Linked DNA regions of Danio rerio. The protein of the gene in region 1 purifies or fractionates together with the protein of each later gene. This does not show direct contact. Links are inferred from orthologs where the notes say so. Each region holds a gene or a part of one and is shown on either strand. Other genes may lie near its edges.

Region 1 (3,758 bases):
TATGCCTTTTGCAGTTGTCTATTGACATTGGAAATGAAGTCAAGATCCACAATAAGATGTTGGGAGAAATGGTATGTGTCAGGAAGTTTTTCAATGTCTAGTAGGGGTTTCATGGTACACTAAAATGACTTTTGTTTTGAAGTTTGGTGTTTTCTGTTTAATGGGTGGAAAAATTCATAACATTGATGTTTTTACTATACAAATTGTGGCTGTGTCTTTAAATAAATTCAGTTAAAAGTACAGTTGATATTAAGGGTAAAGAAACTATAAATGTACAACTGCTATTGAGGGGAACAACTATAAACTATATATGGAGCCTTATTATTTAAGCATTGCTATATTTAAGTGTACAGTTTCCAACAGGGACCTTTATTAAATTCAGTTGCAATTAGTTTTTAGATATTGAAATCCATGCTAAAATAATTCTAAATGCAAACATGAGACTGTTTTTACAATAATTTAAATCTAATTATGAAATTGTTTCTACTCCAATTAGTAATCCAATTCCTTTGTAACGGATTCATTTAAACGTACATTATATATTAAATATGTATTGAAAAGTATAAGAATAAAGCATTTATTGTTTGAATTTTAAAGTAACAAAACAAAGCTTTTATTTGTGCATCTGAAATAGGGCTGCACAATCTTGGGAAAAATTGACAGTATTTAGTTTTTCTGCGATATATTGCGATATTGATATAATTTCACAAGATTTGTACCACAAATGTATGAGATTTTCCCATTGAGTCCTTGGAAGTGTCAGGTGCAAATAGAAAGGTGTTTCTACATGTACAGCACACACAGAAATGCACAGTGTGTTTCAAGAGGGGGACTGTGGCGTCTTAAGCCCCTGATGTATTGTCAAAAGCCCCTGATCTTTTGTTGGAATATGTTGCACTTAAATAAAAATAGGTTGTATAAAATTTATTTTGTTATCAAAGTTTTTAAAATTAGCTCATACATCACTGTGCTCCAGTTAACGCAGCTATTAAGTCATGTAATTAAATTGTCAGCTATTCTGCAGTATCTGTTTCTACCGGCAGGTGGGAGTGGCACAGTTGTCACATGGTTTTAAAAAAATCCCATCATCATCATTCATTATTTTGAGGAGCTGATGAGGTAATAATACAATTCGCAAAACTGAATAGTTGTAACTACTGATTTTTTAAATAGCTTTTTTTAATTTGTTTTCACAGTAAAAAATGTGTGTAGTTTTGGTGAAATACAATAACTAATTGATCAAATGTGCATCATATCAATGTAAATACACGCGAATTAGTCAGAAAAACGTAAATTGTACTAGCTCTCTAGATATGATATAGATATCTAGGCATATTTATCTAGATATGATATAGCCAGGCACATCTGTTTCTGTAATGGTTAAATCACAGTGAGGTAATGCATCTTATTATTTTATAGCTTCTATTTAACATGCTTTATCAGTTAGCACCGAACTTAGTTAGCACTTTACAAATCTTGAATACCAATCAGAGACAAATGGGTGTTCAGCACTGCCTACATGTGCATTATTAATTTTAAAATCATCTATCCATTTTCCTACCCTAAAAAAAAACAACAACAAAAAAAGTTTGTTCTATTGCAAACAAAAGAAAACCGAAAAACGTCAGTTTTCTTAATTTTCCTTTTTTTGCTTGAAAACAAATATGAAATGGACGGAAGATTCCCTGATTGTGCATGAAGATGCTTTGTTGTGTGTTTTAGAATAAGTATTTTAAAATGCAATATTTAATGTGTCAGACACAAAATACAAGTTTTTAAATTAAATAATAATTGAATATTAATATGACCAGTTAATGGTTAATATTCTGTTAACAAGTGGCAGTTGTCAGTTGGCAAAATTAACTGAAATGAGCATCCCTAATTTCAATGTATTATGGCTAAACTTTGCAGATCTCATCTTCTGAGCGGTGGTGTTGGATTTAGTATAATCCCATCTCAACATTGCAGATCCAGGGATGTGACAATTTCACATGCAGACATTGAATGCTGAAATTGTGCAGCTCTAAATTAAAAAGTGTTCTGTTGTAAAAAAAAAAAAAACTAAAAGATTGACATTGGGATTTAAGAATAAATATTCATGCATTCACATTAAGGCATTCTAAAGTTCCAATTGTGCTGTGGTTAAAGCAACGCTGTAATCTTTTGAAACGTAAGCATGCTAAACAAATTTACAGTATATACAGTTGAAGTCTAAACTATTAGCTCTTCTGTGAAGTTTTTTTTTTCTTTTTCAAATATTTCTTAAAAGAGGTTTAACAGCAAGGAGTTTTTCACAGTATTTCCTATAATGTTTTTTCTTCTGTAGAAAGTCTTATTTGTTTTATTTTGGCTTGAATAAAAGCAGTTTTTAATTTTTGTTTTTAAAGTCATTTTAAGGTCAGTGTTATTGGCCCCTTAATCATTATTTTTTTCTCGATTGTCTACAGAACAAACCACTGTTATACAACGACTTGCCTAATTTAACTTGTCTAATTAACCTACTGCCTTTAAATGTCACTTTAAGCTGAATACTCTGGAAAAATATCTAGTAAAATATTATGTACTGTCATCATAGCAAAGATAAAATAAATCAGTTATTAGAGATGAGTTATTAAAACTAATGTGTTTAGAAATGTGCTGGAAAATATTCTCTCTGTTGCACAGAAATTGGGGGGGGGGGTATACAGGGGATAATAATTCTGACTTCATACGTGTACTTGCATGTTAAACCCCTTTAATTAAATTTCTTTTTTAAGATAGTAGTATTGTGAATAGCTTTAATATCTGACTCGTTTTCTCCTTAAGGACTCAGACTTTGACTCGACTGGAGGTCTGCTGGGAGCCACCATGGGCCGATTGAAGCTCCTCTCCAGGGGAAGCCAGACCAAGGTGTACTGCTACATGCTGCTGTTTGCTCTGTTTGTGTTCCTCGTCCTGTATTGGGTCATCAAACTCAGGTGACCACACAACTCCTGAGATCCAGGACTTTATTACATGCCATGCTCATTTGGGGTAGAAGAGCAAAATCCTCACACTTATGATGATGGTAATGATGATAATGAGGAGGAATTAAGGGGAGCAAATGTGCTTTTCTGGCCAGTGAATTAGAAATTGAACCATTGAGTTACAATGTGCAATATGAGAGAAAAAAAAAAAACATCTGTCCCCAAAATTACAGTCTCTTCAATGGAGAAATGCTACTTATACTGGAAAAACATGCATATTTAATTCAGTAATAATTAAACATTTGTTTGTGTTATTCTTTTAAGAGAACTTCATTGCTATGAATGGGTGATGATTTATAAATTCTAATGGATTTATATATATATATATATATATATATATATATATATATATATATATATATATATATATATATATATATATATATATATATATATATACTATTGAAGTCAATGGTTACAGGTTTCCAGTTCAAGGCAGTTTCCAGAAGAAAATCAATCATGTGTGTTTGAATAAAATGTCATTTGTCTTCTATTCTGTAATCTATTAAAGGTCCCACAGAATCAAAACAGTGACAGAATTCAAGTTTAGAAGATATAAAACTGATATGAACATGTCAAGCTTATAGATTGTCACTTCACCCAAACGAATCAACTGTTTTATTCACATGAACCTCATACTGCAGTTTCTCATCAAATCATAACCAATTTACTGCTCTCTAGTATCTGACATGCCCCGGCCCGCCCCTATTTTGTGCTTGAGCTGACAGAGCGGTGATTAAACAAAACGCTATT
Region 2 (3,890 bases), on another chromosome or scaffold:
AAGAGTCATGCCATGGTGCATTTGCGATTTACATAGCGGACTTTGTGAAAGAAAAAACTGAATGCTTCCCTTAAATGCAGTAAGGATAAAACATGAGTCTCCTCCATTCAACCTCTTTACTTTTACTCTTACTTTACTTTCGTGGATAAGGAAACGGTGTTGTACGCACTCCACTTAAGACATCCATCAGCCTACATTTTTAATTTAGTTTTTTAAGCACAAAAATTGGTTTCAAAAGTTTTTCTAAATTCAGTTTTGATTTCCAGCAAATGAATAAATGAACAAGAATAACGAAATGTGGTCAAAAACTCTATTCAAACACACATTCTGTTCTTATTCTTCATATACCATTCAGTTTCCTCAAAATAGCAACATGTCGATAAGGCATCCTGACTCGCATCTATTTTAGACCACCACATCCTTGATGCAGGAAATGGATTTGCTATTTAGACAACGTGGCACAAAATGTGAACATTAGCATGGTGCTGGTCTGGAAATAGCAACAAATCGCGGCAAACACGTCTTGCGCCTAATTGCGCCATGTCTGTGACAGGCCCTGTAGAGTTAAACAGTTGAATATGACATTTATTTTTTTACCGATTTCTGTGTCTGGCAAGAGCACTTTTAGCTTAGCTTAGCATAAGTCATTGAATCGGATTAGACCATTAGCATCACGTTAAAAAATGACCAAAGATGATATACAGTCATTTTCCTAAAACTCAACTCTTCTGTAGTTACATCGTGTACCAAGACCAACCAAAAATGAAAGGTTGCTATTTTCTAGGCCAATATAGAGCGTAGGAACTATCTTCTTTCTGATAATCATTGAACTTTCTGCTGTACCATGGCTGAAGCAGGCACAACGATATCACGCAATGCCTTGTTAGTTAATATTTTTGTTTAAATACTTTCTTTGTCACCAGCAGAAAATCCTTCAAATGTTCTTACTTTAAATTTTTCATCATGTTAAATCATTTACGGTTGTGGCTCTTCCAGACAGCTCAGTTCTGATGCAGGATGAGTCCAGGAGTCTGGGAGCAGAAGTGGCCATCGACATGGACTCGAGGGCAAACCCTCTGCAGCTGCAGCTCATCGATGAACAGGTATCCGTCTCTTATATCAAGCGCAGTTGGAATTAGTCTGGATTGCAGACTCTGGTTTGCATGTATGATAAATGTTCAATGTCTGATTTCATTATCAAATTTCCCTTTATTGTGTTTGTGCAGGACTCGTATATCCAGAGCCGAGCGGACACCATGCAGAACATCGAGAGCACAATCGTGGAGTTGGGCTCCATCTTTCAGCAGCTGGCACACATGGTCAAAGAGCAGGAGGAGACGATTCAAAGGTCACACACACACACACACACACACACACACACACAGGCAGTCCACATAACAGCTAAATGTAGCTATACATTCTGAGCAATTTGACAATCATGTTTATCAAATTAAAATGAGCTTTTTAAAGGTATAATAGTTCACCCAACTCTTAAAAGTGTTGTTATCCTTATCTTGTCACAAACCTCTTCAAGTTTTTCTTTCTGTTGAACACAAAAGAAGATATTTTGAACAATGTTGGAAACTGGTAACCATTGACTTCTATAGTATTTGTTTTTTTTTTCCCCCGTTTTCTTTTATGGAAGTCAATGATTACCAGTTTCCAACATTGTTCAAAATATCTTGTGTTCAACAAAATAAATGAAATTTGTGACGGTTTGCAACAACTTGAGGGAAAGTAAATTAAACTTACACGTTTATGTAAACTGGTAAAACTTCAGTTTGAGATTAGATCTTTTTAAGATTATTTTTCTTATCCAATTCACAAATAATTTAACTTGTTTTAAGCAAACAATCACTTAATTTTGAGGTGTTTTTTTTTTTTTTTTTTTAAGAAAACAAGACCTCAGCTGCGTCCCAAATGGCACACTATACACTATGCACTCATGCACTATGTACTTATGCACTTACGCACTCAACTGGATAGTATATGTATGTAGTGGCGTCCCAAATGACACACTAATGTTTTTTACTAAGCGGAAATTCAAACCGTTTCCCTGATGACATTTGACGGTTGCCAAATCAGTGAAATAAACAACCGAATTATCAAATATACCTGCCGTGAGTACTGCTGCATTCACCATCAGGAGGCGCTATAATCACTCTCGTAGGAGAATTTTGCTTTCACCATCCAAAATAAATAAAGTTATTCAACATGTGCTCCGCCCCTTCCACTACTTAAGCAAACCTGCGGTCGTTGAGTGCGTGAAGTGTCCATCATTCCACGCTTCATTTTAGCGGCTGAATGAGTGCATCATCCGGGTAATTAAGTGCACCTATTATTTTTAGAGTTTTCAGTGTGAACACACTACTTACACTATTTATACTACAAAATGGCGTAGAATAGTGCATAAGTATGCGATTTGGGACGCAACTATAATTTCTTATGCTATTTCATGTGTCTAGTATGTATCTTGACTTAAATATTTAGATTTTTGGATTGAAAACAGGAAAAAACTACTTCGTTTTATCATTATTATTATTATAACAGCTCAGGGATGAGCTTTTTTAAATAAACTAACTTAGAAATTAATGCACTTTTTTTTTTTATCAGATTCATCGATTAATCGAAAAAATAATGTACACATTAATCGATTATTAAAATAATTGTTAGTTTCAGCCTTAATTAAAATGACAATAATATCGTTTATCGTAATGTATTTTGGTGCAATATATCGTACAACAACAAAAAAATAGATATTATGACAGGGATATAGCTGAGGTATTGTCAGATGCTGTAAAAATCATGATGTATTCATTATTCGTCTACAGGATCGACGCTAACGTGGACGACACAGAGCTGAACGTGGAAATGGCCCACGGCGAGATCCTCAAGTACTTCCAGTCCGTCTCCTCCAACCGCTGGCTCATGATCAAGATATTCCTGGTACTCATCGTCTTCTTCGTCATCTTCGTGGTCTTCCTCGCTTGAGGTGGAACGACCTCAACTGTAAGAAGGGCTGCAAACAGAGCCAAAGGGTTTGAAGGAGGGAAGGAGCAGGCGATGGACTTATGGGCGAACGTGCAAAAAAACACAAACTCAAATGGACCGGGCCACAGAGACTCTGGCTCTCGGGATAGGGGGGATGGGTTGGGATGGGGTAACGATGCTCATTAATAGAAATGCTTTTAGTCCGAGGGACTGGACTCAGTTGTAGATTTCTGTCCCATTCTGGATGATGATGAAGGTGGAACTGAGATTTACTGTGTGTTTAGATGGAGAGGAGAGTGTTTGATTTCACTCTGTTCTCTTTAAGCTTCATCTGCATTAATACTTGAGCCTTCGTTTCTTATTAATCATCACATATTAAACGAGAAGGCTTTTTTTTCCCCAAGTGGTTTGATTCTCCAAACTGGTTTAGTTTTTTTTTTTTTCTCTTGGACAGTGTTATTCGTAATCCCACGGTAACATTTTTTATGGTAAATTCAGTGAGATCTGATTCTTTTCAGTAGATATTCCTGATGATATTAATAATACTCCTGGTAATTAATTTAAATTAATCAGTTTTTATATAAAAAACAGGTGATTATTACACACTTAAGGGTGAATCTTGAAGTATCAGAATCATTTTTTACTCCCAACAATTGAAAGGAGCTATTGTTAATTGTGTTTATGTAATTATATTTTTGATACATAAAAATGATGTCTATTTCAGGACTGTTACAGCACTTTTTTCATGTAATTAAAGGGACAGTTCACCAAAAAAAGAACTATATAATATTATTTATTTACCCTTAAATTATCTCTTTTGAGCGAACCATCCCTTTAATGTGAAAAAAAAATACATGAATGTAATTTACCTTATTGTATCTCACGTCATGTAAAAATGT

Evidence for each region. The genes of interacting proteins can lie anywhere in the genome.
Region 2: the proteins of bet1 (region 1) and stx5a purify together in Homo sapiens (affinity purification with mass spectrometry; 3 studies listed by BioGRID and IntAct, with this or other methods). This does not show direct contact. The link is inferred for Danio rerio from reciprocal best matches to the Homo sapiens genes BET1 and STX5.

What each region holds. Positions count from the first base shown.
Region 1 is NC_133194.1:43,528,909-43,532,666, reverse strand, and holds the end of bet1 (BET1 homolog), read left to right. Parts: intron 1-14; coding exon 15-71; intron 72-2,805; coding exon 2,806-2,961; 3' UTR 2,962-3,256; downstream 3,257-3,758. UniProt on the Homo sapiens protein: Required for vesicular transport from the ER to the Golgi complex. Functions as a SNARE involved in the docking process of ER-derived vesicles with the cis-Golgi membrane.
Region 2 is NC_133189.1:9,160,347-9,164,236, forward strand, and holds the end of stx5a (syntaxin-5a), read left to right. Parts: intron 1-996; coding exon 997-1,103; intron 1,104-1,226; coding exon 1,227-1,348; intron 1,349-2,831; coding exon 2,832-2,991; 3' UTR 2,992-3,389; downstream 3,390-3,890. UniProt on the Homo sapiens protein: Mediates endoplasmic reticulum to Golgi transport.